2 linked regions of the Arabidopsis thaliana genome follow. The protein of the gene in region 2 interacts with the protein of the main gene of each other region in a pairwise test. Each region holds a gene or a part of one and is shown on either strand. Other genes may lie near its edges. The genes, in order: AT5G67130 and PAP7.

Evidence for each region.
Region 1: the proteins of PAP7 (region 2) and AT5G67130 interact in a protein complementation assay, tested with the Arabidopsis thaliana proteins (one large-scale study listed by BioGRID).

The regions. Positions count from the first base shown.
Region 1 is NC_003076.8:26,778,909-26,794,438, forward strand, and holds AT5G67130 (PLC-like phosphodiesterases superfamily protein), read left to right. Parts: upstream 1-12,390; 5' UTR 12,391-12,690; coding exon 12,691-12,795; intron 12,796-12,889; coding exon 12,890-13,012; intron 13,013-13,249; coding exon 13,250-13,387; intron 13,388-13,468; coding exon 13,469-13,567; intron 13,568-13,659; coding exon 13,660-13,963; intron 13,964-14,049; coding exon 14,050-14,273; intron 14,274-14,345; coding exon 14,346-14,432; intron 14,433-14,540; coding exon 14,541-14,741; 3' UTR 14,742-14,974; downstream 14,975-15,530. Other genes in the region: ICU2 (DNA-directed DNA polymerase), read left to right, coding at 111-201, 294-479, 712-875, 984-1,098, 1,376-1,552, 1,629-1,742, 1,987-2,106, 2,186-2,500 and 17 more; ALC (basic helix-loop-helix (bHLH) DNA-binding superfamily protein), read right to left, coding at 6,424-6,615, 6,710-6,775, 6,854-6,919, 7,010-7,081, 7,194-7,430; AT5G67120 (RING/U-box superfamily protein), read right to left, coding at 8,922-9,182, 9,556-9,678, 9,986-10,108, 10,441-10,554, 10,632-10,829; AT5G67140 (F-box/RNI-like superfamily protein), read right to left, coding at 15,101-15,316, 15,396-15,494.
Region 2 is NC_003071.7:385,194-401,274, forward strand, and holds PAP7 (purple acid phosphatase 7), read right to left. Parts: upstream 8,992-16,081; 5' UTR 8,775-8,991; coding exon 8,586-8,774; intron 7,987-8,585; coding exon 7,830-7,986; intron 7,429-7,829; coding exon 7,321-7,428; intron 7,232-7,320; coding exon 7,104-7,231; intron 7,012-7,103; coding exon 6,883-7,011; intron 6,756-6,882; coding exon 6,691-6,755; intron 6,581-6,690; coding exon 6,370-6,580; 3' UTR 6,228-6,369; downstream 1-6,227. Other genes in the region: EXGT-A3 (endoxyloglucan transferase A3), read left to right, coding at 181-364, 439-539, 665-873, 1,438-1,945; EMB975 (Tetratricopeptide repeat (TPR)-like superfamily protein), read left to right, coding at 3,090-4,550; AT2G01870 (uncharacterized protein), read right to left, coding at 4,653-5,126; PAP8 (purple acid phosphatase 8), read right to left, coding at 11,792-12,008, 12,096-12,163, 12,253-12,381, 12,535-12,662, 12,730-12,837, 12,969-13,125, 13,775-13,975.

The sequences.
Region 1 (15,530 bases), on a different chromosome or scaffold from region 2:
GTTTGTATTTTCTGGTCTTCTGTAAGCTTCTTAGTTAACTATGTATGCTGGCTATGTCAATTTAGCACGGTGCAATTTTTTCATCCTTATCAAAGTTAATTCATATGCAGTGCTTTGGAGCATTTTATCCTTAAGAGGAAGATCATGGGACCTTGTTGGCTCAAAATTTCAAGCTTCTCTACTTGCTCTCCTTCGGAAGGAGTAAGACCTTAAATCTGTGCCATAATCATATAATCAGTGATTTTTCTAGTTCTGTTTATCTCCGCTAATGAGAGGACTTGCCACTTGTGCAGGTGAGTTGGTGCAAGTTTGAGGTTACTGTTCAATCTCCCAAGGATATCACTATTTTAGTTTCAGAGGAAAAGGTGGTTCACCCTCCTGCTGTTGTTACAGCCATAAATTTAAAGACTATAGTCAATGAAAAGCAGAACATAAGCGAAATTGTTTCTGCATCTGTTCTCTGCTTTCACAACGCCAAGGTTTGTTCTACAACATTTAACCAATGCTTCTTAGCCTTTTTTGTTGTTGTTGTTGTTGTCTTTGTGAAGAATACGGATGTATGATCATGGCATTACCAATCACCAGTAGGTTTTCGTACCATGTGGTTTTATATTAACGCTCATTTTGGACGATTGTTTCTTGCTCAAAAGACACTCTTTCTGTCTACATTAGTAGCTTGACATATGATGTGCGTGCTCCTTGATCTTTCAGATTGATGTTCCAATGCCAGCTCCAGAAAGAAAGAGATCTGGTATTCTGAGTCATTTCACTGTTGTTAGGAATCCTGAAGGAACCGGTTACCCAATTGGTTGGAAAAAAGAAGTGTCTGACAGAAATTCAAAGAACGGCTGCAATGTATTAAGTATTGAAAACAGGTGTGTTGCAGCTCTGTTACTGAATAGGCTGTGTTTGTGATCCTTCACATATATCTTTGGCAATTCATGTTGGCTTCGTCCAATATTTTGTTCCTTTTCTTACTGCAGTGAAAGAGCATTGCTGAACCGATTGTTTTTGGAGTTAAACAAATTGGACAGTGATATTCTTGTGGGACATAATATTTCAGGTTTTGATCTGGATGTTCTTCTTCAAAGGGCCCAGGTAAAGCAAAATCTCTTTTTACCATTAAGAAAAATGGTTGTGTCTTTCATTTTATTTTATTTTCTTATCTTTCTATGATATGCTTCATATTAGTTTTGTAAGATCTTGTCTTTCCAGGCCTATTAGATGATATTTAACGTAATAAGCCAGCAAGTTTTTATTTCATGCATTGTACATCATTAGTCCCTTTTCCAGTCTCTCCTGTTGTGATGATCATGTAATAGAGATATATACATGTCTGTCTTGTTCTTTAAACTGAATGATTACTATTGTGCAGGCTTGCAAAGTTCAGAGTAGCATGTGGTCCAAAATTGGCCGACTCAAACGCTCTTTTATGCCTAAGCTTAAAGGAAACAGTAATTATGGGTCAGGAGCTACACCAGGGCTCATGTCTTGTATTGCTGGAAGGCTCTTGTGTGATACAGATCTGTGTTCTCGTGACTTGTTGAAGGAGGTATGATACCCTTGCAGGTCTTGTAAGCAGTAAGTTGAAGCTCAGTCCCTCATGTATAAGCATCTGTTTCTTGCAGGTCAGTTATTCTTTAACGGACCTCTCAAAGACACAGCTGAACCGGGACAGGAAAGAGATAGCGCCTAATGATATTCCCAAAATGTTTCAGTCATCCAAAACACTTGTGGAACTTGTAAGTTCTTCGATGAGCCCGGTCATGTCTGTTTTATGTATGAGTTGGTACTACCACATTAGGGACGATAGGTTATGAATCCTTGCATGCGAAACAATTTAGTGCAAACTATTGAAGAATAAATAATCCAGTCATACATAGAAGTAAAGGGATTGCAGATAACAGCAGTCACTTAAGGTTGATGAGTGATGACTGCATCTTAATTGCTCGCTTGTTATAACCCTTTGATTTTCTTTTCTTTCAGATTGAATGTGGTGAGACGGATGCATGGTTATCCATGGAGCTCATGTTTCATCTAAGTGTTCTTCCTCTCACTCTCCAGCTTACTAACATAAGTGGCAATCTTTGGGGGAAAACACTTCAAGTAATGACTCTCCCTCTCCCTCCCATCCGGGAAAATATGTGTTACTGTGCTGACTCATGCATTTTTTGTTCATGACCAGGGAGCCAGGGCACAGAGAATCGAATACTACTTACTACATACATTCCACTCGAAAAAGTTCATTCTCCCTGACAAAATTTCACAACGTATGAAGGAAATAAAGTCATCAAAAAGAAGAATGGATTATGCTCCAGAAGACCGCAATGTAGATGAATTGGATGCTGACCTGACTTTGGAGAATGATCCGTCTAAGGGCAGCAAAACAAAAAAAGGTCCAGCCTACGCTGGTGGACTGGTCTTGGAGCCAAAGAGAGGCTTATATGACAAATATGTCTTGCTTCTGGATTTCAATAGTCTTTACCCTTCTATTATACAGGTTAGCAGATTGTTTCTATTTCTCAAGCCTTTGGTGGATGTTTCCGCCTGCTTGGTAGTTAACAGTCATGATATTTTCAGGAATACAATATCTGTTTTACGACTATACCACGATCAGAAGATGGAGTTCCTCGTTTACCTTCGAGTCAGACACCTGGAATTCTTCCAAAGGTATAGTCATCATTACACGAGTTTGCATTTTACTGTGACTATTTTCAATTCCGTATATATTTTCTATATGTTATAGGTTATCCAACGTCAAATCTATAAATTACCCCAACCCAATCAGAAATTAATTGAAAGAAAAATTCAACAACCAAAATATTTTGCCTCATTTTCTTTTCCTAACCTCTCAAGGGATATGCGAGAAATCCTCAGAACAATGCGACCTAGCTGGTCAGTATTGTATTGGTGACTGCTGCTTTCTGTAGTTTAAGTAAACCTAATTCTGACATAATCGTCTAAATTATTGCTATATACATTTTTTTTTCCTCGACTTTAAGTTTCTCTCCTTGATCTGGTATGCCCATGAATCCCACTATATGTCTTTGTTTTAGTTGATGGAACATTTGGTCAGTATAAGGAAAAGCGTCAAATTAAAGATGAAGAAGGAAACAGGTCTCAAGTACTGGGAGCTTGACATTCGACAGCAGGCATTGAAGCTCACAGCCAATAGGTTTGCATTTTATGGTTTTACTTGTGCGGCAATAATTGCCAATCACCGCAATTTGATGTTTATGTTTTTTTATTCATTCTAAACACAGTATGTATGGCTGTCTGGGGTTTTCTAATTCAAGATTCTATGCTAAGCCTTTAGCAGAGCTCATAACACTACAGGTAAGTGATGCTTTCTGTGTTTTCTAGTGACATGTTTTTTCTTTTTTTCTCTATTTTTGCGTGATCAGGCTGATTGGCTTAACATTGCAGGGAAGGGATATCCTGCAAAGAACCGTGGATCTTGTCCAGAACCATTTAAATCTAGAGGTAACTCTTATACTTGGAGTCTCAGGAAATGCATTTCAGTAGAGAAATTAGTGAACTGTGTAAACAACTCTGTTCTATCAAGTCTAGAATTAAAATCTTGCTTTTACGTAGGTAATATACGGTGACACAGATTCAATCATGATTCACAGCGGACTAGATGATATTGAAGAGGTGAAAGCCATTAAATCAAAAGTCATCCAAGAGGTAGGTTGGATACTAGATTTATCTCTATATAGCTTTCCTTGGGGAAAGTGCTTCTCTAAGAAGATTATAAAAAATTTATACAAGAAAAATCAGACATTTGATTTTGGGCCTTCCCCTTTCAATTTTTAGGTCAATAAGAAGTATAGATGTCTAAAAATTGACTGTGATGGCATATACAAGAGAATGCTTCTTCTTCGAAAAAAGAAGTATGCTGCTGTCAAGTTGCAGTTTAAGGATGGGAAGCCTTGCGAGGTAATTGTTTTTTTGTAAACATTTTTGCATACCCTTTCTTGCAGAAAATTATGGGTACTAGATGCATTCTCAATGCAGGACATTGAAAGAAAAGGTGTGGATATGGTTCGTCGAGATTGGAGCTTACTCTCGAAGGAAATAGGAGATTTATGCCTGAGTAAAATCTTGTATGGAGGGTATGTTTTGAAACATCAACTAAAGAACATTGTTTTTACTCTCTCATGCAAGCACAACAAGTCTCTTCTTCTGTGCAGATCCTGTGAGGATGTTGTTGAAGCAATTCATAACGAACTAATGAAGGTAATCTTTGTTATGATTTATTAATCTTTGCTAATTAGTTTGATCGTCTTTATCATCCAACACATGTTGCTTTGTCCATGTAACAGATAAAAGAGGAAATGAGAAATGGGCAAGTTGCTCTTGAGAAGTATGTCATCACCAAGACATTGACTAAACCGCCTGCAGCTTATCCAGATTCCAAAAGCCAACCACACGTTCAAGTGAGTATGAGAGCTATTATTCTCGTTATTTCTCCCTTATTATATGCTTTCTATATATTCACTTAACTTAACTCTCTGATTGTGTGGCTAAATTTTTCTTCTCAGGTTGCACTCAGAATGAGGCAACGTGGTTATAAAGAAGGTTTCAATGCTAAGGATACTGTACCGTATATAATCTGCTATGAGCAGGTTCCCAAAACAGAAGACCAGCTAAATATTATAAGATACCCTTTAGTTTTTTCTACTAAATATTTTATGCCTCCTCTGTGCAGGGTAATGCTAGCTCTGCTAGTTCAGCAGGAATTGCCGAACGTGCTAGGCATCCTGATGAGGTGAAATCAGAAGGCAGCAGATGGTTGGTTGACATAGATTACTACTTAGCACAACAGATTCATCCGGTGGTGTCTCGTCTATGCGCAGAGATTCAAGGAACAAGTCCTGAACGTCTAGCTGAATGTTTAGGACTTGACCCATCAAAGGTAAAACAGCTTTCACTCCAGCAAATTTCCGATTCATATTCAGTGATCATGAATTCATGATAACTGATGTGGAAATAATGTTTTATTCTAGTACCGAAGCAAATCAAACGATGCTACAAGCAGTGATCCCTCTACCTCCCTCTTATTCGCAACAAGCGATGAAGAAAGGTATTGATATCTTTCCCATTTGTAATTTGCTATCATATATTTGCTTCACGGATTTGCAATATTCCTCAAACTTAAGATCCGCAACAACGTAATTTACATGGAAAAATGCAGATATAAAAGTTGCGAGCCTTTAGCATTAACATGCCCCAGCTGCTCTACTGCTTTCAACTGTCCATCTATTATTAGTTCTGTTTGTGCGTCAATCAGTAAGAAACCTGCAACACCTGAAACAGAGGAATCTGATTCCACATTCTGGCTTAAACTGCATTGCCCGAAATGTCAGCAGGAAGATAGCACGGGAATAATATCCCCTGCAATGATAGCTAACCAGGTAGGCAAATTTTGTTGAAAAGGATCCTAATTTGTTAAGTTTCTCAGAATAAAAAATATGTATCCTTGTGATTTGGCCTGCAGGACAAATGCTTCAGTTATTAACTCATTATCATGCCTTTCAGGTAAAAAGACAGATCGATGGATTTGTGTCAATGTACTACAAAGGCATAATGGTGGTATGTAAAACCTTCTCGCCTTGTTTTTTCCTCATAGTTCTGAACATTTGTGATTTGTCCTTCTTAATTTATGCTAAGACGTTTTCTTGTACATTTTGCCTTCAACAGTGTGAAGACGAGTCATGCAAGCACACAACCCGCTCCCCCAACTTTCGTCTACTCGGTGAACGTGAACGGGGGACAGTTTGCCCAAACTATCCTAACTGTAACGGAACCCTCTTACGAAAGGTATATACCATCATCAACCTTATAACTCCTATCTCTCTATTGCTTCACAGACTAACTCTTGACTTTACAGTACACTGAAGCAGACTTGTACAAGCAACTGTCATACTTCTGCCACATCTTAGACACACAATGCTCTTTAGAAAAGGTTTCTACTTTACAACCTTGTTATATTATTAATATCAATTTGTCTTGTCTATATCCCTAAAGTTATCGGTACCATTTGAAATAACAGATGGATGTTGGCGTGAGAATTCAAGTAGAGAAAGCAATGACGAAGATAAGACCTGCGGTTAAGTCAGCAGCAGCAATCACTCGAAGTAGTAGAGACCGGTGTGCTTATGGATGGATGCAACTCACAGACATAGTCATTTGATAGTTGTAATAATCATCTCATATGTAAGTAAATTAGTCTTTTATATATAATCTGCTTCAGACATCATTATAATCAAACTACTCAGATTTTGTTCACTCCTAAAGCTTATTAGCATAACTATAACTGAACATAGAAATCTGGCCAATGCTAAAACTCAAAACATTGTTCACTCCTGTCTGGCAGGTACTAGAGGAATTCCGATCATCATCATTGTCTGAATGTTATCTTCAAAGCAGAGTGGCTGTGGAAAAGCACATTCCTTGACTTGTTTTAGCTGGTTCCAGCGAGTGAGGAGCAGCGAGAAGAGTCTCTAGGTTCAGGTCTTGCTCTAAGGTCTCATTGATCCTTGTATGAGTTGGAGGTGGAACCTGTGGTAATCGCATAGGGTTTAAGCCTAAACCATTCATAACGGCTAAAGTCTGCATCATGCAGTAAATCAAGTTAATGATCTGAGTGATGTAATTTACAAATCAGACTTTGAACGTATATAATCATAGTAAGTAGGAAAAAAACCTGGACTTGAAGTTGAAGCTGCTTCAGATATTCTATAGCTTCATCAAGCATTGAGGCTTTATCAGTCTATAAACAAACAAAAGATAACGGATCAATCAGAACAATGTTTCTCACTATCTCTGATTCGAACAAAGATTGATTAACCTTGTTGGAATTGGGAATGAGTTTCTGCAAAGCTTTCATTTTCTCGTTGATCTTGCTCCTCCTCTTCTGCTAACACTCAGATTCTAATCAACTACAATCTCAAGGTTCTTCTTCTTTCTAAATTAAGAATCTTAAAAGGAAGATAAAAGAGAAAACCTTTTCAGACAAGTTGTGGAATTGAGCATCAATGTTTCTCTTCAACGAATTTCTCTGTTTAGCTCCACTTCTCTTTAGTGTTTAGCCATTCCAAAAAGAAAAGAGACTAATTTTGGTTTTTGTTTTCTTTTACAAGGAAAGCCAAGTGAAGCATCTCTGCAGCTAAGAATAGTTAAGTTTATACCTTGTGTTCGAAAGCATATTTGTCTTGGCCAGTTTCAGAGACTCCATAACCGACGGAAGAAACAGCTCCGCCGGAAACGGAAGGGAAGAAGGTCTCAGCGGAGGAAACATTAGTACTCTTCGGTGGTGAAGAAGGTTGAGCTGTAGGAGTACGGGAAAGAATCTGTCGGAGAAAGCTCGAGAGTTCGTCGGAAGAAGATGGAGGGGGAAGACGATCACCGACGTCAGAATCACCCATCTCTCTCTCTCTCTCTCTCTCTGCTCTACTCTGTGTGTAAAAATTATCACTGTGGCTTTTTCGTAGTAAAGCTTATAGGCGGGGGAGGTAGGACGCGTGAGATCACGTTCTTCAGAGAAGCGCGTGGAGGTTCTAAAAGAGGCGAGTGGCGTGTCGAATCCCTATAGACAGAATCTGGTGTCTCACATCACTCTGTGTGTGAACAGTTTCCTTTTGTAGCAATTTTATTTAATAATATTATATTTTTTACCTAATAAAAAAAAGGAAAAAAGCATTTTTGGACCACCAAGTAAATAAAAAACATACATTTTTATTGTTTTTTTCAATGTGATAAGTTAAATTGAGAGGAGGGGATGAAATTATGAAAATCAGTAAATGAAACGGTTGAAAAAATAAGAGTATTGATAAGATAGAGCATTGATAGACTATTTAATTATTATTATGACTAAACATGAAAATGGACAATTACTTGAAAAGTAAGGTCTCGCAACAGTTTCACCATTTTTGACAAATTACAAAAATCTATTTTTTCCTTCTTTTTTGTTGTTGTTGTTGTCCACAGATAAAGTGTGAATAAAACTGCATGCATTTCGAAAGATTATTTATTCGAGAGATTATTTAACACAAAATAAAATTCAGATATTATAATGGTCAATACAAAGACGATAACATGTCCTTGATCATTAGCCTTTTTTTAATGCATCCAAAGGGAAATATATATAATATAGTAATTAAAATAATTATGGTTCATAGCAAAAATAAGAATAACTAGATTTTAACCCGCGGTATACCGCGAAAACAATTTATTTTTTAAATTAATATATATAAAAGTTTGTAAATTGTATCTATCTATAAAATATTTTTATTGTATAGTTTACAATTGTTATTAAGTAACGTCCTGCCAAACCCGTCCCGCCAACCCGTCCTCTAAAAAAACTCATTTATTTTATGAATGTGATCTTATTTATGATATGTTTATGAATTATTGTCTAAATATTTTGTAATTTTGTAGTAATTAAATGTTATCAAATATCTCTACGGTTTGATGATTATAATCATGCAGAAAAGCAATATCAAAAATGATAATTTTGTAGTAATTAAATGATATTAAATATTTTAGAAGTTTTATTTTAGTAATTAATCGTGTAGTTAAGGTAGAGAGATTTTGGAAAGATTGTTAAATGTCAAATATTTAATTAGAAGATTTTCTTTCTAATTATCAAAAACAATTATTAAATGCCAATGACAGCCGCTGTAAATAAATCCCAACTCCAGAATTTATTTCACAAAGTGGCTGCAAAAATATATATATAGATGATAATAATCAAAATCAGAAATCAAATCAAAATCCAACTTGCCATCTAAATAAATGGAATCTTTCTAACTTGATAAAAAGGGAAATATTGGTAATTATGGTTCATAGCAAAAGAAAGAAACAAAAAAACTGAAATCCAACGAGATAAACGGAATCTTTCAAACTTGATAAAACATTTAAACGACTTCTCGGTTGCAAAGAGGACACTTGTTCGTGACCATTAGCCAATTCTTGATGCATCCGAAGTGAAAGTCATGCCCACATCCCAGTTTCGAAACTTCTTCATTGTCCTTCAATTTCTGCTGACAGATCACACATCTCTTCGTTTCATCGTCGCTACGCTTTTCATATTTCCTTCTTATTAGATTCTCATCAATCACTTCCTCGCTTAAACCAGTGCGTTCATCTCCTGTTTCGTCAGTGATGCTCAATAATTCCTAGAAAAAAAAAGATTCATTCATAAAATTATCGATATCTAAACTCTGCAGCTTATACAACTCTAGAATCAAGAAACCAAAATGGTACATATAATTTTTATTAAAGAGAGTCCTAATCTCTTCTACATCTAGGATTCAAATGCACTTCTTTGAAAACTACACATGCAACCGACTAGTTAACCAATACTGGAAGCATTAAATTTTCAATGTTATCTTGCAAAAAACTCTAAAGTGCTAACTTCTAAGATACAATGTTCATAACAAATGAAAAAATGGTGAAGGCTTTCAAATGTGATGTAAACACTTTAGTAGTTTTTGAAGATATTTGCATATCAAAACTTAATCTAGTCTAGTTATAACATATATAATATACCTCGTAAGTGAAGATGTCTCCATGAGAAGATGGATTTGTATACTCTTCTAGTGACTCTGTTTCAAATTGTTCATTTGTCGATGACTGTAACCAGTTTCTCCAATACTGCTCCAACGTTTCTTCCTATACAATTTCAATGTCTATATTATAATATCCAAAAGCATTAGATATTAGATAATTACCCAACTAAGTGATATTAATGTTTTCCATGTAAAACCGAAAAATTTTAAACCAAACAAAATACATGAAAATGATTATTTTAAGTTCACTAAATATCATAGAAAATTTAAACCTTTCTTTGTTTTTTAAATGGCAATTGTTTTTTTTTAGTCTTATTTCCACAAATATTGTTTCATAAACTCTAAATATACTTGAATGCTAAGAGATTTGCATATCGAAACTTAATCTAGTCTATATATTTATTATATACCTCGTAAATGAAGGTGCCTCCATGAGAAGATGCATTTGTATACTCTTCTTGTGATCCTGTTTCAGATTGTTCATTGGTCGATGACTGTAACCAGTTTCTCCAGTAACGCTCCAACGTTTCTTCCTATATAATTTCAATGTCTAGATTATATCTAAAAGCTTTATACCTTTTAAAGAAAAATATTAGATAATAGATAATTAATTACTCAATTAAGTGACATTCAATGTTTTCCCACGCAAAAACAGAAAATTTAAAACCAAACAAGATACGAGGGAAATGATTACGTAAAATCACGGAATGTCAAAACAAATCAAAATCCTTTTTTTTTTTCTTTCAAATGTCAATAATATTGGATCTTATTTCCTCCAATATTGATTCATAAACTCTTGAAATATATTTGAAATGCTAAGAGATTTGCATATCAAAAGTTAATCTAGTCTAGATTTATACTATACCTCGTTAGTGAAGGTGTTTCCATGAGAAGATACATCTGTATACTCTACTACTGATGTTGTTTCAGATTGTTCATCGTTCCATGATTGTAACGAGTCCTGCTCGAACGTTGTTTCCTAAACAATTTTCATGTCTATATTATATCCAAATAAATTATTTCTCTTAAAAAAAACATTAGATAATAGATAATTACCCAACTAATTGTCCTCAGAAGGGAACCGGGCTCTATTGCCGGACCATCACCGTTCACATCAAGCGTTGGATCTGGTGAGATGTCATCAGCATCAACTGGTGAGTAAGTGTCCCATAGATCCCAGTCGTCTCCAAATAGTAGCCACATGAAGCTAAAAGGACTATCCGGTATCTCAGAATTGTCTTCGTTTGGATCCATACTTTTGGAGAAACATATTACCTGACTCAAAATTTTTTTTCAAGGGGCTAGATTAAGCTGAATTTATATAGATAATTAACACTTTCAAGTATCATCACCATTTAACTCTTCCATTCAAATGCAAATACTTGAGTGGACAGGATAGTCTTAATATTGATAAAGTAATAGAAAAAATAAAGACGTTATGAACAAAGAAAAACCACTAAATATATTGTAGCTCAGTTAAAGGAAAAATATATATACCAAATTAAGGCTTAAACGATAAATAATGCATATAACCCACTTTTCAGTGCCTCCATGGATAAAAGGATTTAGCAACTTTAAGGAAAAAAGGTTTATACCAAAAAAAAGTTCAAGGAGAAAAAGACCACTGATTTACAATTGTTGGGTAGTTTGAAGTCCCAAAATGTTAAAAATTCAATTAAAAAAATTGTGACAGCTAATAAAAATGGAACTTTAGCTGGATTCGGAAGATTTATTTTATTGAAAATAAGGATTCTGTTTTAATTATAGCTCTAATACAGTTGAATTGGTTTTTTATAGAAAAACATTTCTTTATTGAATTTTCTTCAATGGAAAAATATCATTTTAGAGTGAATAAGTACAAAAAATAATAAATGTTGCTTTCAACAAAAAAAGGAAGGAAATTTTATGTTTTGGCTTTGTATATTTGCTTTCAACGTCATTAAAACGCTTTTTAAACCGGAGATATGCATCTTGTTTTCCTCATTTACAAGTTCACAAGATGATTAATTACATTACTTGGGTCATGGGCTTAAAAAGAGAGAGTTTGGGTCCAACTAAAAAGGCTCAGTAAAATACGTAAATGGGCCTAGCGTTATAGCGAGAGGCAGAGAGAGAATTTACACGACGACGACGTCATACTCAATGGACGTAAATGTCCAAACTACAAAAGTTTTTTTTTTTTTTTGTGTATTAAAAAAAAAATCTCAAGTTAAAAACACATCAAGAGTATATTACAGCAACTTGTGTGTTAAATCACCAATTGTGAATAAATCGGTTATGGAAATCAATCATTTTTTTTTTTGGTTTAATGGAAATTAATCATTTGATCGTTAAGAGTGTCACTAATTCGATACGTCACTTGCTGACGAATCTGCAGATGAAATAGGCATGGTATGATAAATCTCGTTAAGAATAAAATTTCACCTAGATGTTTGAGTAATTTTTGTAAGATGATGAAAATTGTAACATTTTTCATTGAAAGAAGCAAAGAGACAAGCAACAAGACAAGAGTGTCCCCACGCATGTGAGCACCGTTAACCATAATAGAAAAAAGATATCTTCATCTAATAATAGGTGAAAAAATCTTATAACTGAGCAAATTTTAGAGAATGAAAATAGTGATCTGTGAAATAATTTTTTTTTTTTTTATGATAGACCTCACCTAACAACTAGAAGAAATAATATAAAACCATTATTACTTATATTGATAAACTCTTACAAGATCACTGTTTCCATAAATCTTGACAAAAATGTCACTCCATATGTTTGGTGTACAAGACTAGAAACTGTAGTTTTGAGTTATGTTATTATAATGTTAAACTGTATTATGCTCAAAATTGAACTCCTTTTGAAAGGTGGTTTATCTTCTTTACTAATCGTTTCTTCATTTTCTCTCTAGGAGCTAGGTGGGAAAAAGATTCAACCTTGTCTTAGAAAAAGAAAACCAAAGCTAATCTTTTTCTTTTGTACCTCTCTTTCAAGGATTAACAAAACAAATCGATGAAGCCCGGGTTTTAGTACCTAAACATCTCTTTGTCTCGTCTTTGAAAACCCCCCCAAGTAGATCCAACATCATTCATATCTCTCTCTCTATCTCTGCATAAGCTACGGAGCGATGTCGGCGTGCATCAATGGCTTATGCAGAGCCGTGACTGTCTCTCTTCTTCTTCTTCTTCTTTCTTTCTCTTTTTCCTCAGCTTGCTCCAATGGAAATTGCCAGGTTCTTGATTCTCTTTGCTTATTATTCTCTGGTTTATGGCTATCAAATTTGGGTCTAAATCTTTAGGGATTTTGCATTTTTGTGTCTCTTTCAGCTGCTGGATTCATGCTCCTCGGCTACTGATTGTGTCTCTGGTTTATACTGTGGAGACTGTCCTGCCGTTGGAAGAAGTAAACCCGTCTGCACAAGAGGCCAAGCCACAAGTCCAACTTCCATTGTGAGATTTAGTTCCTATAATTAGTTGGATTTCTCTAGAGTTTCCAATTTTTGAAGATGCGTTGTTTCAAAAGATAGTCTAGATCACTTGGTCTATCAAAAGTTTTGAACTTTGAAGATGGGTTTTGCTGAAGATTTCATTTGGTTGCATTAAAAGATAGTCTAGATCATTTGGTTGTATCAAAAGTTTTGAACTTTGAAGATGTGGTGATGAAATTTGTGTGTGTGTTTTTTGTAGATCAATGGATTGCCTTTTAACAAGTATACATGGTTGATGACTCATAATGCCTTTAGCAATGCAAATGCACCACTTTTGCCAGGTGTTGAGAGGATTACATTTTACAATCAAGAAGATACTATTACTAATCAGCTACAAGTAATGCTCTTATTACCAACTCTCTTATTATAGTTTCCTCTTTTTTTGGATAAAACTCTTGAATGTATATTTTTGTTCTAGAATGGAGTTAGAGGGCTAATGCTGGATATGTATGACTTCAACAATGATATCTGGCTTTGCCATTCGCTTCGAGGGCAATGTTTCAACTTCACCGCTTTTGTAAGTTTTATCTTCAGCTTAACCTTGCTGGATCGAAAGCTTGAAACCTGATTGGATTGGTAAATGTGAACTTTGTTTTCTTTTTGAATCAGCAACCTGCAATTAACATACTGAGGGAAGTTGAGGCATTTCTGAGTCAAAACCCAACAGAGATTGTTACCATCATAATAGAGGATTATGTGCACAGACCTAAAGGCTTATCAACACTGTTTGCCAACGCTGGTTTGGACAAATACTGGTTCCCTGTTTCGAAAATGCCTAGAAAGGGAGAAGATTGGCCTACTGTGACTGACATGGTGCAAGAGAATCATAGGCTCCTGGTTTTCACTTCTGTTGCTGCCAAAGAAGATGAAGAAGGCGTTGCGTATCAGTGGAGATACATGGTTGAAAATGAATGTGCGTATTACACACAGTTTATATCTTTAATGAAAATTGTCTCTGAGAATAACCTTCTCTTGCCATTTTCTTATGATTGTCTAAAGCTGGGGATCCCGGAGTGAAGCGAGGTTCTTGTCCTAACAGAAAAGAGTCTCAACCTTTAAATTCAAAAAGTTCTTCGCTATTCTTGATGAATTACTTCCCGACATATCCGGTTGAGAAAGACGCTTGCAAGGAGCACTCAGCTCCACTTGCTGAGATGGTTGGGACTTGTCTCAAGTCAGGAGGGAATAGAATGCCAAACTTTCTTGCTGTTAACTTCTACATGGTACTGAATCAATCATATAACTATAATATGACTGTTTTTACGAGATCTAGCTAACAAACCATAATATTGCAGAGAAGTGATGGAGGCGGCGTTTTCGAAATTCTGGATAGAATGAATGGACCGGTACTTTGCGGTTGTGAAACTCTTTCTGCTTGCCAGGTATTAACTTATTAACTCGCGCCAAAGTTACTTATGGGTATGAAATAAGATCTTACAAGCCTAAATTATCTAAAACCGGCACCCGTATTTTGGTTCTTGATGTTGCAGCCAGGAGCAGCTTATGGTTCATGCAAAAATGTTACTGTACAGACAAGAACTCCAAGCATGGATTCAACGGCTGGAAGCAACTCAGGTGGAAGCTACTCAGGTTCAGTTCAGTTCTCAAGATCTTTAGCTTCTGTGGCCCAACTAAACAACATTGTTGTCTTCTGCTTCTCATTGCTTCCGTTGCTGATATTTCTACTATGACACAACCAATCAAACCACGTGGAGAGATTCTTAGGTTAGAGAATCTTGATCACTTCTTTAGAACGAATGAGAGAGCCTAAGTTGACATGAATTGCCTTAGAAAGAGTTTCTGATTTGATTCTTGTATTGTAGACTGCAGAGCTATAGGCAGAAATCTTGTGTATGTGTGTCTTCAGCTTCTGTTGATTGTTATGCAACTTATATATATATATATATAGACACAATTCTACTCCAATAGAAACTTTACTGAATATTTATATATATATGTTGTTGATTGATGAGAGAACACATAAGATATATGCAGATTCAATTGTATGAATTACTATGTACACAACAAACAAGAAATATGATGAGCAACACTAGACAGCATGCAGCAACGGTGGTGGATTCTGAGCATTGAGAAGCAATTCCATGGGTTTGATCTGAAGAGCAGGACTGATGGTAAGTAAAGCAATGAAGCAATCTACAGGAACTCTAGTTCCCCATAAGTTGATGGATTCGAGTTTTCTGCATTTGTTTACAAGAACAAGAAGGCCTCTCTCTGTCACATGACGGCAACACCACATTCCGATTGTCTGCATAAAGGATTCCAATTTCGAAAGCGTGATTCTCATGAATCTAGAGAGAATTATTTGGTTAGATGATTGTTGTTACCTTAAGCTGATGGCAGCGTTCTGCAATTGCGAAAAGAGACTCATCGGTTATAAATGTTCCTCCTATGTTTAGGTGTTGCAGTGAGGAAGTTCTTGAAATCTGTCAAATCAAAATCAAGATTCTCTGAAATGATTA
Region 2 (16,081 bases):
TAAACGACCCAAAAAGACAGATGGAAACCATATTCACTCTCTCTTCTTCATTAGCCTTTCGTCTCCTTCTTCTCTTCTCTATCTCTCTTTAGCTTCTCTACGCAAGCTTATTATCTCTTTCTCTTAAAGCTTTTTCTATATACAAACAGAAGCGTTTGATACTGTAAAAAAGATTTAGAAATGGAGACTCTGAGTCGTTTATTGGTTTTCATGTCTCTGTTTTCCGGTTTAGTTTCTGGATTTGCTCTGCAAAATCTTCCAATCACATCTTTTGAAGAAAGTTACACTCAACTTTTTGGTGACAAGAACTTATTTGTTCATCAAGATGGCAAATCTGTCCGGTTAACGCTCGATGAAAGAACCGGTACGGTTTAATCTTCCTCTGTTTTTTAATTTCCTTCTCATTTTCTCGGTTTAGTAATGATTTTGTTTTTGCAGGTTCCGGTTTTGTTTCAAATGATTATTACTTGCATGGATTCTTCAGTGCTTCAATTAAATTACCTTCTGATTATACAGCTGGAGTTGTTGTTGCCTTTTATGTAAGTAAAATCTCTAATTTTAGCTTTAGAACTAACCAATTATGATTAGTTTCACTATTTGATTTGGGTTTAGTATAAGTACTAATGACTTTTTTTTATATTGTGGGTTGTTGTTATGTATTCAGATGTCTAATGGAGATATGTATGAGAAGAATCATGATGAGATAGATTTTGAGTTTCTTGGTAACATTAGAGAAAAAGAATGGAGAGTTCAGACAAACATTTACGGTAATGGAAGTACTCATTCAGGAAGAGAAGAGAGATATAATCTCTGGTTTGATCCTACTGAAGATTTTCATCAATACAGTATCCTCTGGTCTGATTCTCACATCATGTAAGTAAAAAAAAAAGTACCAATTCTCTCTTAATCTTTGTTTGTTTGGTTCAATTTAAAGGAGGTTAGGCTATTGACCCCATTTGATTTAAAAGCTTTATGGATTCAATAATATGATCTTCTATTTAAGGAAACCCAAGTGGGGTTTTAATGATGGGACGATCTTTTTGTTGAAAAAATATGATTCAATTTTCTTTGGTGGATATTAATTCTTATTACTTCTTGTGGAAAGTTTTGTGATGCTTGGGACATTATTTGCTTTTGGTTGTAATGTTCCTGTCAATTTTCAAGTGTGTGTGATCGCCTAAAATGGTTTACAGCTTTCGTTTTTTGGCATCAACAATGACCCCATAGAGAGTATGTTTGGGGTCCAATTCACAAGTTGAGAATCTTTACTTAAGTTCATCAAAAGCTACAAATTTTTATGCCAATAATGTTATCTTTCTAAGCTTACAGAATCTAACTTACTTAATCCAAATAAATGTTTTTTTTGGTTATAATTATGTAGTTTGTACTAAACTACTGATCAAAGTTGTGAAATTGTTGTTCTTTTTGGTTATGCAGATTCTTTGTAGACAATGTTCCTATTAGAGAGGTCAAACGTACTGCGGAAATGGGTGGTCACTTTCCATCAAAGCCGATGTCTCTCTACACAACAATATGGGACGGTTCTAAATGGGCAACTAACGGTGGAAAGTACGGTGTAAACTACAAATATGCGCCTTACATTGCGCGGTTCTCGGATCTAGTCCTGCACGGCTGCCCCGTGGACCCTATCGAGCAGTTTCCGAGGTGCGATGAAGGCGCGGCTGAGGATATGCGTGCGGCGCAAGAGATTACTCCTTCACAAAGGAGTAAAATGGATGTTTTCAGACGGAGACTCATGACATATTCATATTGCTATGATCGGGCTAGGTACAATGTTGCTTTATCGGAGTGTGTGGTGAATCCCGCTGAGGCTCAAAGGCTTAGGGTTTATGATCCGGTCAGATTTGGCGGCATTCCGAGGCGCCACCGCAATGGAAAGCACCGGAGCAAGAGAAGCCGGGTTGATGGAACCGAGTCGATATGATAACATATATAGGCAAAATAGTATGGGTGAGATTTGGGGGTTCTATAATAAGTCCATTATTTTGGTTATTTATGATTCAATGCATTTTCACATATAGAGGAGGCATTTTTGTCATTTGTTAGTTGTATATCATTATAAGAAAAGAAAAAATAATTAATTTATTTATTTGTGATATTTTTTTTATATATGATAAATTGTTTCTTGTTTTTGTGAATACTTTACAGTTGTTTACGAATATTATCGGTGTAAATAATTTCAGATATCTTGGAATTTATATTTGTATTCAATTTTGTGTACTTTATGTGACGAGAGTTTTGTCTCGCTTGTACTTGTTTTATTCAATGGGTCCGACGAATATTGTTTTAATTTTGTGTGGTCATGTTCATGCACATATGTAGTATTATTATTACATACAACAAAATTTTTATGTGATCACACATGGTACCTTTCGCATTCGAACAAAATTTGAGCTTGAGTAAACAATTCATTTTTGTCAACAAAAATAATGTTTGTTTCGTTATTAACAAACGATTTAACTATAAGGAAAATATCAAAAGAAAAGTATGGAGCAAAAAAATTGTTTTTTATATACATATAAGTCGGATTTGGCAAAATTTTAGGGACCATCTAAAAGATAGAATTGTGAAAAACTAGACAAAATTGGCTTAGCTCATTATTCATTTGTGTTTAGTCGTTTTGAAGTTGATGGTTTTGCTTTTTTTGCCAGCTATTTTACAACTGTATAACACTCTACTTGCTTCCAAAGGTTTTGCCACGTAAGCTAATGTTTATCCGCAAAACTACTTTTAAATAAATTAACAAAAATATCATTTTCAATTGGGTCGGGTCATTTCGGGTCGTGTTTACCGGGTCGGATAATTGATTTCTTCTTCTTCTTCTTCTTCTTCTTCTCTCTATCTCAAGCTCGCTAAGATTCTCATCAAATTTCCTCTTTAGACTAAGATAGTTCTTTCGTATTCTTCAAGGGTTTTTGTTTCTAGACCTAAAGTTTAATCCTTTTTATAAGCTTTGTGTTTGATTTCAAAACCCTAGCTGTTCCGGATTCTATTGTAGAAACGATTACTTAAGGTTCAATCGGAATTAGGGTTTGAATTAGAACCGTAACTTCGTGTGTTTTTTAGGAATGATACTACACTGTCCTGTCTCTTTGTCACTTAGCTTTCACTTGAATCTTCGAACCAGTAGAATCGGAAACATAGGAGTAACAAGAGTCAACGCTAGTCAAAGGAATCACTCTAAGAAACTCACTAAGAATCTCCGTAATCCACGCCGTACCAAGCTTCCTCCTGATTTTGGTGTTAATTTGTTTCTTAGGAAACCCAAAATTGAACCACTAGTGATTGATGATGATGATGAGCAAGTTCAAGAATCAGTGAATGATGATGATGATGCTGTTGTATGGGAACCAGAAGAAATCGAGGCTATTTCATCGCTGTTTCAGAAAAGGATACCTCAAAAACCCGATAAACCGAGTCGAGTTAGGCCTTTACCACTTCCTCAACCTCACAAGTTACGACCTTTAGGTCTTCCAACTCCAAAGAAGAACATTATCAGATCACCTGCATTGTCTTCTGTATCGAAGCAAGTGTATAAAGATCCAAGCTTTCTCATTGGTTTAGCTAGAGAGATCAAGAGCTTGCCTTCTTCTGATGCAGATGTCTCTCTTGTTCTCAATAAATGGGTTAGTTTCTTGCGTAAAGGGTCACTCTCTACGACTATTCGAGAATTGGGTCATATGGGTTTGCCTGAGAGAGCTTTACAGACGTATCATTGGGCTGAAAAGCATTCTCATTTAGTCCCTGATAACCGGATTCTTGCATCGACTATCCAGGTTTTGGCGAAGCACCATGAGCTGAAACTGCTTAAATTCGACAATAGTTTGGCTAGCAAGAATGTAATTGAAGCTATGATCAAGGGATGCATTGAAGGTGGATGGTTGAATCTAGCTCGGAAGCTTATACTGATCTCGAAGAGTAACAATCGAATACTTGACTCGAGTGTTTACGTGAAGATGATTCTGGAAATAGCTAAAAACCCTGACAAGTACCATCTTGTTGTTGCTCTTCTTGAGGAACTGAAAAAAAGAGAAGATTTGAAATTGAGCCAGCAGGATTGCACAAGTATTATGAAGATCTGTGTGAAACTGGGAGAATTTGAGCTTGTTGAATCTCTCTTTGACTGGTTTAAAGCATCAAACAGAGAACCAAGCGTTGTAATGTACACTACGATGATACATAGCCGGTATTCGGAACAAAAATACCGGGAGGCAATGAGTGTGGTATGGGAGATGGAAGAATCAAATTGTCTTCTTGATCTTCCAGCTTATAGAGTAGTCATTAAACTATTTGTAGCATTGGATGATTTGGGAAGAGCAATGAGGTATTACTCTAAACTCAAGGAAGCTGGATTCTCGCCAACGTATGATATTTATCGCGATATGATTAGCGTTTATACCGCTTCAGGGCGATTGACAAAGTGTAAAGAGATATGTAAGGAGGTTGAAGATGCTGGATTGAGGTTGGATAAAGATACTTCATTTAGGTTACTGCAGCTCGAGAAGCAAACAATGTCTCTTTTGCACTGAAGACAAAGTTCCAATTTTGTTTTTACTATCAGTTTCATTTGTGTGAACATTTCAGTATTGAAAACAGTGAAGATGTAATATACACGAGATACACTAAGATTTCTACTGTTTGAAAGTGTTTTCAGGCAAAGATGAAAGTGGAAACTTAACAATGTCAGAATCAGACATAGCAACACTGTTTTCTTCTGGAACTGATTCTGGTCCATCCATGGATGGTTTTATCACTGTAATGAACAAAATGTTGTAGAACAAGGTAAGAGCTAAGAGAACAAAAGCTGAACTTGTGAGGAACGATCCGGAGATCTCAGGTGGTTCTTCAAACATGATTGGATCATTGTTGGTTCTGACCACATCTGATGATGTCTTGTTGATGATTCTTGGTTTCTCATCAGCTTGAGATTCTATTTGTTGATCAAGCTGTTTCAGAGCTTCTCTAGCTTTATCTCTATCGATTTGGAATGAATCTTCTCTTTCAGTGGCTTGGACAATACGCATCAAATGTCTCTTCTTCTTTGTCTCCATGATTCTTCCATGTGTGTACCATTTAAGAGACTGTAAGCCTAACACCACCACCATTATCAGTTTCCTCTGTTTCTTCTGCTACACCACTCTGGAAGATGATATTTTTTTCTGTGTGGACATTGTTGATGGCAAAGTTGTAGATAACTTTACTTCTTAGGGAGTTGTTTTTACATAAAAGTCTTATATCACCAGACATTCAAAATTGGGCCCATTTTTAATGTGATAATTCCAAGTATAAGGCTTTAAAGGCCCAATTTTAGTCCCAAAAAATGTATTATATTTCATATCAAGTATTTTTATAATTAGAATACTATGAAATTTAATATTTTCTTAAAAGGTATATAAGAGAAATACTATGAAAAACAGCTGAATAATAGAATAGATGAATCACATTTAATACCGGACAACAATTCTAAGCTGAATAAAAATGATTTTTTGTTTCAAACACCATAAAGTTTTTATTTCGTAGATTAATGAACTTTCTAAAATTTAGTAATAATTTTAAAACATGCAAGATAAACTGAAAATTCGCTTGTTATTTTCATATTCTATATATAATTAAACACAAGTTTTTGTATAGCCCTGGGTATGTGGATATTTGGGTCGGTTCGGGTCGGATCTTTTGGGTTCTAATTTAGAAATTTTAGACTCGTTGGGTTATATGTTCAATTTCGGGTTGGGTTCGGTTCGGGTTTACTTTGGGTCCGCATAATTCGAATATTGGTTAAAGAACCCATAAATAACCAAAACTATTTCGGGTTTAAGTACTACTTACCCAAATTTTGTTCAAATATACCGAAACATACATAAAAATATCCATAAAACCCAAAAATCTGAAATTATAACAAGTTTTTCTTTAAGACAATAATATAAAACAAGAAGTAAACCTTATTTTGAGCTTGTTCCATAACTCAAATCATTAAATATGTCACAAATTCAAGTTATTAGTGAATATATGTCCTATATGTATATATATGTTCGAGTAATAAATATTACTTACGAGTATCGGGTTCGGTTCGGATAATACCGATACCTACAATTATTTGAAAATAGAATCCGATCGGATAATTAACCGAAACTGAAATAGAACAGGTTCGGGTATTTCAGATCGGGTTCAGGTATTATGCCCATGCCTATTTTTGTAAATGATATGTATTCAACGGAACCACGTTTTCAGAACGTGAAAAAACTCTATATTATTCAAGACCATTGTGTTCAATAATCATACATCAATAAATTTATTGTAAATAAAAACTTAAATTAAATTGTGTGCAAATTTTATTCTTAGAAATGTTATTTAAAGATGAGCAGATCTTTTGGACAATGAGGATCGGTGAAGAACATTGCCGGAAACATCATAGTAGATGAATTTAGCTTTGGAGTGAGTGATGTGAAGAGACATGAAACCTTGTCCATCGTAATACAGTTTGAGTTCTTTTGGATCCCATGGCTGAACATGTCCTCTCCATGCCTTTGATCCTCCTCCACTTGTAAGAAATTGGGTTTTACTTCACCATTTCCAAAATATATGTTAAGTTTTCTTTCTTTCAACAAAATATAACAACTTAATAGAGAAAGAAACATTTTAAACTCAACAAATAAGTACTTATAATTTTACCCGTGAGAACCAATGTGTTGCAAGCAGTGATCATGTCCATTTATGTACAAGTCCACTTTATTCTCCTTCAGTAATAAGTGAAAAAAATCATGAAAAACTATCGTAGTTAATTAAATTGGGGTACATCAATGTAGAAAACAATAAAGATAATATAACATGTAATTAGCATAAAAGTGATATTATGAATTTTACCTCTAGAATTGGAAGAAGTTGATCTACAAGCTCTTGAGTCACACCGTGATTACCTGCGGTTTTGATCCCGTGATGTCCCACGACAAATTTCCATGTGGCACGCGACTTTTTAATCTCTAAATCTAAATCCTGATATTTCAATAACATAAGTTATAATTAGTAGAAAATTTCAAAAAGAAGATTGAGATATATATATGTGATTATGAAAGAAAATGTATTACATGTAAGAGGTTTGAGATGTATTTATTTCTTGGTAAGACATTTCTCCAATCATAAGTGTGATCTTCTGGTTCAGTGAAGTATTTTTCTACAAAAGGATTTGTGTCCGCGAAGAAAAAATCCACCATTCCTATAACCACAACAAAACATATTCACTAACTAAAACTTTGATTTAGTTATGATAGTTTAATTTTGTTTGTTTCTTTCCTTAAAATCTACCTGAGGATAAGACAAAAGATCTGCGACAAAACCATCTCCAATCTTTTTGGGTGAGAACTTTACTTAGTTGTGCTTCAACATTTCCTCTGTAATCATGGTTACCCAAAACTGCATTAACACATGAATCAATATCAGATTTTGCCATTTTTCTTAGTGGCATTTATAGATTTTGCCTTTTTTGAATAGTTTATGGATTTTGCCATTTTGCAAGCTAAAAAATTATAATTTAAACATGCATTTTACCCGTTATGTTTAGGTCAGTCGGTTCCATCTGATCTTAAGTTTAGTATTTGGTATAAAATATGTATTTTTAACAACAAAAAAATTGAAATACGTACGACAAATCTGTAAGATCTTAGTAAAAATGACATTTTCCAAAACAATTGCAAACTACACAATAATCCCATAACACATTTGAGTGTTTAAACTCAGTTAGGCATATAGATAAACAATTAAGTAACTAACTATTAAACATGTGTATAAACTTTGATTAGAAGGAAGTAAATTACCTGAATACCATTGTTTTTGGAGACTAGGATGAGTGTAGATATGAGAGAAAGAGGCTTCAAAGGAAGGATCATTGACTCCTTTTAATCCGTCGTCGTAGAAATTATCTCCTACTGATATCACAAAATCTATGTCTAATTTCTCTCCCACAACTCCCATCTGCCAATTTTTCAGTTTTACATTACATAAACAAAATTTTATTAACACTGGTTTGTTCATGTCGATATTATAAGCGTGAAATATTTTTGTAAATTGATTTAAGATATACAACAAAAAAAAGGATTTGTTGCCAAACAAAATGATAGTCAATTTTCTGTTACATCTCATTTTAATTAGGATTCTGCTTTCTAATGAAGCGTATCAATTTGTCAATTACAAGAATACTTTACGAATATGCTTTCTCAATTAGTACTTATTGCGTAGGATGCACGCAACATACGACTATGTACTCATAAATTAATAGATTGATGTTTACATTTTCATACATATTTCAACTTTCAACACTATAAACAATACGTACATTGTTCAACAAAAAAAATCAAATTCAAATCCTTTGGGTTGTATTACTCTATATTGTTGCCTTGAACAAATAATTGTCACTAATTAAGTTGTATTTTTGTTATTCAAACGAATTATAAATGAAATAATAAATCTTGTATTTTTATCAGATTTACAAAACACAAACCACTAGTCTACATATACTTGTTAAATCTTTCTAATACATTATAAATATTGAAAAAGTGATTAATATTACTAACCTGATGTGCAACGAGAGATTGATTAAAACCACCTTTGCGTCCCCAATCTCCGATAACAAGAAAACTCAGAGAGCCATCAGATTTCTTCTTCACCGGATGTTTCAACCTTTCAAGCTTCGACAAAGCACCATTGATGAAGAAGATGCTTAGAAACATCAAAATCACACTAAAACATACGTGCATCTTCATCTTCTTCTTACTTTGTTTTATCTGGTATGAGACAAAATCACAAAAGAAACAAATGATGCCTATATAAAGAGAGATGAAGATGCCTTGCTAACAATTAATATAGATGGATCCATAAGAAGAACATGGTCGATACATTATTTAATCAAGGATGTTTCTTTTTGGTCAACTCTTGAAGGAAATTATAATCATTTTACTAAATTAATTAAGAAGACTCTACAACTTTTTGTTTTGTAATCATATAGTATATATTTTGTTCAATGTATGGGCCAATGCTGCGTGTTACTTACACGTTTAGGTCAAGGGATATTTCCTCCTGTATATGTTTTTATTTGTTTCCTACTTTATTTCTTAATTATATATCTTTCCCCATAAATGTCTAATATTAATATCTCTCGGATATTTGATACAAATGTATAAATTTGGTATCCATAGTTTTAAAAAAATCAAATTAGTTGTCTTTTAATGTTTAAATCATAAAGAGAAGTATTAAGGATTTCTCTCTTTATGTGAAATATGCAAAAATAATTCTTTTGAATATCAATATATATATAGTGGAATATGATGGTAATGAAAAATGTGAACACGAGAACCATGCGTACAGTATAATTATATATTAAACAAGATTTTAACCCGCGGTATACCGCGGCACGATTTATTTTTAAAAGTAATATATATTAAAATTTGCAAATTTTATTTTTACAAAATATTTATATTTTACAGTTTATAATTGTAATTAAGTAACGATATACCACGAATTCATGAGACAATTGTTAAAAAAACTGAAGTTTTGACCCCTATTAAAACAGCATATTAATAATATTTTAAAATTTTATAAATATTGATTCAAATACATCCACCATATAACCCAATTCCAAAATAAAACACGTTTTGTAATTTCTTTACCCGTCCCATGATTTTTTTTTTAAGTAGTAATTTTTATAATTTTAGAATTATTTTTTATATATAAAAATTTTGCAAATTGTATTATTCTCTAATACATTTATATTTTATAGTTTAATTTTATATATAGTAACATTATACATACCACATAACATTTTTGGTTCTATATAATTTTTCTAAATTAGGATGATTTGATATGTTTAATATTAGTGGTCTTAAAAAATAATAAATTAAAGATTTAACCCATATTGAAACGGTAAATTAATTATATTTTACTTTTTTATTAATGTTGATTCAAAAACTCGTTCCTCCAAATCCGTCTTGCCAAAAAGTCATTTATTTTATTAATATTAGTTTTATTAATGATATGACTCTGAATTATAATCTAAACATTTTAGCTAATAACATAGGAGTGCACCATATTTATTTAATAGAGGAATGTACCATATGACCCGAATGCATTTTTATCCAAATCCACCAAAAAAGTCTTGCAAAAATACTATAGAGATAAAAAACGATAGTCGGTTTTGATAGATATAAGATTAGCAAATATATTAGTTAGCTTAAATTAGTTAAAGAATACAAATTAAAAAGGTATATTACACTTTATTCAAATATAGTATCAAAACTTATATAACACAGAGATTTGATAATTTTTTAATTGTTGAATACTTTTTTTTGTGCTAATTTTATGTGATTAAGATTTAATTGATTTCGTATATATAATATTAAATTGACTTATTTGTTTATAATTTGGTAACAGATAGATATTTGAATATTCAGTATATTTTGCTTCAGTTTAGGAAATCTTTGATGACCCGTCTTTAGATCCAATAAGTCCTATAATCTAGAGATTAATCTGCAGTATACCGCAGGTAGGCTTATATTTTAGTTAAACTAAAAACTTTTATTGTAAAGATGATTTAAAAATATATAATATTATTTTATTTAATTTTAAATGTATAGTAGACTGTGAGTTGTATATGTTTTGTTGATATTATCTATATTGTTTAGTGTTTAAGATTATACACTTGTAGTTTGATTGTTAATTTAAGAGTTTCACATGTAGTATACCATCTTGTATTAATATCGATCTAAATCCGTCAATTCTATGATTTTCCAGCTTGTATTAAAAATTGAATCACATCTAATATGTTATTAACTATTGTAGTATATAAGATTATAAATTTTCAATATAATATGTATGAAATTGAATATATATATTTCAAATTTATGTCCCGTTACTCAGTAGAAAGTTTTCTTAAATATCTTTTTCACCCGTTATAATATTATTCATGTATTGAACAGTTTATATTCGTTTTTAAAAATTCAAATTATGGCATATGCGAAAAAACTCTAATTATTTTTTTATAATGATGATATTATTTTTCCGTAAAAATAGAATCATATCAAGATGAGAAGTGAACTATAATAATTAAGAAAAAATTAATATGATAATTTAGATACCAAATATAGTTTGTTGATTTTAATTGGCTACTTTTTTGGAAATTAATAATGTATTTCGTTTTTCTAATTAAATTAAATTAATTAAAATTTAGATATCAAATCTTATGTGTTGATTTTGATTGGCTATTATTTTTAGAAATTAATAATGTATTTTGTTTTTTAATTAATTTAATTAATTAAATTAGTATTTGACTTTTTAATCTTTAAAGAAATAAATATATAATATTAATATCTCTCGGATATTTGATACAAATGTATAAATTTGGTATCAATAGTAAAAAAATCAAATTAGTTGTCTTTTAATGTTTAAATCATAAAGAGAAGTATTAAGGATTTCTCTCTTTATGTGAAATATGCAAAAATAATTCTTTTGAATATCAATATATATATAGTGGAATATGATGGTAATGAAAAATGTGAACACGAGAACCATGCGTACAGTATAATTATATATTAAATGTAAACGAAATCAAAACCAAATCATGAGAAGATATGTCTCCATGTATTAAGATACCATTAAGAATTCGAAAATAATCACACAACATTAAAAAATGTTTAACTCACATGAAATATCAACATAATAAACAATGGACTAATTAATATAAATAATTATGTCGTAACTCTTAACTACTTTTTTGTCTGACCATCGATTAGATATCGGAATAAACCCCATTCTTAAGAGTGCTCCATCGATGCAAAACGTGACCAAGACCATCATAGAAAACGACGCGTAGTTCAGCTTCGGATGTGTAAACCGACATGAATCCTTGTCCATCATAGTAAAACCTCATCTCTTGTGGGTTCCAATCATTCACATCTCCTTTCCACGCCTTGGAGCCACCTCCACTTGTCATAAATTGTATTCCACTATAAACAACAAAAACCGCATCTCTATCTTACGTTACTAATCCATAATTAATCGATTAATAAATTATACAAACTTATTATAATCACCTGTTGATGCTGCTTATGTGCTCCAAGCAATGATCATGCCCGTTTATATAGAGATCCACTTCATTAGCCTAAATATATCAAGAAAACCAATTAAATTGTTTTTTTTTCAATTTTTGGTATTACATAATTCAGTAGTTTATAATATAGTAAAAATTACCTCGAGGATAGGTAAAAGTTGTTTCTCAAGCTCTATGGTATTTCCGTGGTGACCTGCACTTTTGATCGTGTGATGGCCTACCACTATTTTCCATTTAGCCATTGATTCTTGCAATGCCACATCCACATCCTATATATCATTAAATTAGGTCAATGATAATCACATATTTTGACTATATTGTAATCGAGACAGGTTTTAGTATGATGCCAATTTAATTATTCTAATTTTCAATGAATTTGATGATATGACTAGCTTATGGTAGAGTAAGAAAAAAAAAGTTACCGTTAAGAGACTGTTAAGGTATTTATTTCTCGGTAATACGCCTCTCCAATCATATACATGGTCCTTTGGTTCATCAAAATATCTATCTACGAACGGTGTTGTATCCACGAAGAAAATATCGACAATCTCTACAAAAGAAAAAAGGGTTAACTAAAGAGAAGTTTTATTAACTTGTGTTCTTGGTAATTTACTTACCGGCGTTAACAACATAAGATCTTAAACAAATCCAACGGCAGTCCAAATCCCTGAGTATGGGGCTGAGTTGCGCATAGACGTTACCTCTATAATCATGATTTCCTAATACTGCAAGAGAAAATAAATGAAAATCTACTAATAAGTATATAAATTTTTGATAGTCAAATAACTTTTTCTCTGTAAGTGAAAGAGAGATAGTTTTATGCTCAGAGTATAAATACTATTAATAATTTACTTACCATTGTACCATGGTTTTTGTAAGCTAGTTGCTGTGTAAATATTGGTAAACGAATCTTGAAATTGAGAATCATATGGACTGATTATTCCATCATCATAAAAGTTATCTCCAGTCGAAATGAGGAAATCAATATTTAAGTCCTTCCCTATTTTTCCCATCTGATCAATGCAAAAAAATATAGACAATAATTAGAAATTGCTAGCTGCGACAAACCTATCCATTTAACTACAAACTAAAACAAAATAATAATAATAAAAATCTCTAGTCAGTGTCTTCCTTAATCCAAAGCATTTACTCATAGGATTATAGAAGCAACCAATAATTAAAGTGATGACGTAGAATTGCAACACTAATGGACAGCCTTAAGATGATTATTAGTTCCACGTAAGTTACGTAATGAACTAAAGATTATGTATGCAACTTCATCTTCACGGCTCCTTAATTAACAATGAAATATGCCTCATATATTATCATCAACTCACTCATTATATATTCAGATATTATTACATGTTAATACAACCCAGGCATTACTCAGTGCAGTTTTATTATTATTGTTCGTTACTTGCTAATATATAACTACAATAGCTAATTAATTTGTAATTTACTCAAACGATGAATTCGACGTCAAGATAACATATATATGATTTCTCTTATCATTTTCGTCTTCTCGCTTGAATTCTCTCACATATTTTCTAAACCACACCATTAAAAAGAACTTGAAACTAGCTTAATTACAGACAAGGAATAAAGTTTGATTGTTCATAAAAATAAGGTCATATCTACATAAACACACACATAAATATGTACCTGAAGAGCTACTTGGGACTGATTATAAGAACCTCTTCTTCCCCAGTCGCCGACAACGAGAAAACTGAGTGAACCATCGGGTTCTGGTGGTTGGACGAACCGCGGTAGCTCTGCCGTTGAATTACAGGCGGATAGTATAATAACTAGACAGAAAATAGAAAATATGAGTTTGATAGGCTTAACATCTCTCAAGCTATCCATTGAGAGACTTTGGAGAAAAAATGTAAGAGGTGATGGACCTGATGGTGGGTTTTCGTGTGGCTTTGTTTATTTATAGCTAGTCCTTATGTGGACAAGAATTAAAAATAGAAAAAGGCAAGAGAAAAAATAATGTAATGAACTTTGTCACTAGAAAAATAACTCTTCAAAATAATTAATAAATTTTAAAGTCGAAAAAATTGTTTTTCTTGTTTCAATCCGAGACTATATAAGACTAAAATGGACTTTAGACAATTACGTGAAAATTATTTGCACGTCAATGAAAAGGGGCGGTGGATAGAAGTAGTCTGAATATTCCATGTTTAGGTAATTAACGTGGTATATATTGTTCCACATATAAATAACATTTTTAGTTCCCATATATATTAACAAGGAAATTAAAGAGAATTTTGAAAGAAAAAAAAAAAAGGTTGACCGGACTTTTTGAAGGTGATTTTATTTATTTATTTGCTAATTGCCTTACATATGTGAAAGGCCATTGTACGAGTTGTTAATTTATACACAAAAGGTTTGATTCATAATTTTTAAAAAAAAATCTGTTTGTCATAAAACTTTGCTACAAGGAAAAAAAAAATTCGTGAATAATACACAAGTTTCGAATAAAAGAGAAAATTGTTTTTTGTTTTCCTTTTCCAACAAAGATTATTTGATTATGTCACTGGAAGAGTGACAGAGTCATTATACAAACAAATATGACAACCATGAAGGAGCTAGGAACCTCCTTTATAGTTTTAAAACTGTTATAATTTATAAAGATACAACTAATTATTAACAGTAATTGGAAATAGGCCTCTGCACCAATTGGAAATGTTTACTTCCTCGTTTAAACTTAATGAAAATAGTCGTTGTCAACATCAAAAATTATTTATTGTCAGTTAAAAATTCATATTTAGAAGCTTTTTTGGTTCATTGGTTGACCGAAGGTTCATTAATGCTTTTGTACACTAAAAAAGTCTGGGGTTCGAGTCCCAGATACTGTGATTTATTAGCAGATTTGCAGATTGGTAGAGACAAGTGTGCAGGAGATCTTCAACAATGTGCAATTATATCCATTCGGCTATGTAACAATTCTCATAATTTGCAATAAATAATAAATTTAAGACGGTAAAAAAAATTATATTTTTTTGATAGATATTTATTCATTTTTAGGAGTTTATCAGTTTAATTCCGGAATTATAAGATAAAAATATTAATTTATCATGGATGTATATTTCCTCCACCATCCGAAGTCATGTCATACAAGCCAAACGGGAACCCATACCATATTCTTCTTTAAGATTTGCAATTATTGAAATTTGTGTTCATGTATTGTTTTTCTTATCTAGACAAGATCCAAGAGGCGTCGACTACAAGAATATCCAAAATGCATGTGAGAGTCGACGAAAACTTCCAAAATCTTTTCAATTATTTTGAGATTCCATACATGAAAATACACATGCGAAAATAAATAGTATCCACGTATATATGATGTCCGATCTATCCGAAATCTCAAATGAGATTCTATGCTTCGGAATGATATGATCACGAGCGCGTATGATATAAAGTATGTTGAAACAAAAGAATGTATATAAAAATTGGTAAAGAGCATCATCATATGCTTAAGCAATGATATTTGTTTAGAATTTCTCTTCTCTTTTGTTTGTTATAACAATTACTTTAACCAACGGAAGCCCAAAACAATTTGTAGTAGTTAATTAGAAGCCCCAAATACTTGGTCAGATCACTAATTGGAAGTAGAAGCCCAACAGTAGAACAAATGTGTAGTTGCTTGTTGAAAGTTGAAACAGATTTTGAGTAAGAAGACCAAATTACCAAACTCGTTTTGGTTAGCTTTCATTGACTTGAACCAAAATTGTTTTCCCACTCGAATGAGCTCATACCAATAAAATTCAAATAGACTGTATAAAATTGATAGTATGGTTAATAAGTTCGAATAACCTTTTCCCATTTTCTCTTCTGATTTCCATTGTGTTGTTCTCAGTTTTACCAATATGATATAATATAAATCTTATAATTTATGTTGATTTATTTGTTATGAAATTAAAAACTCACAATTTTGGTAAGATTTTTTATTTATTAATTTTTAAT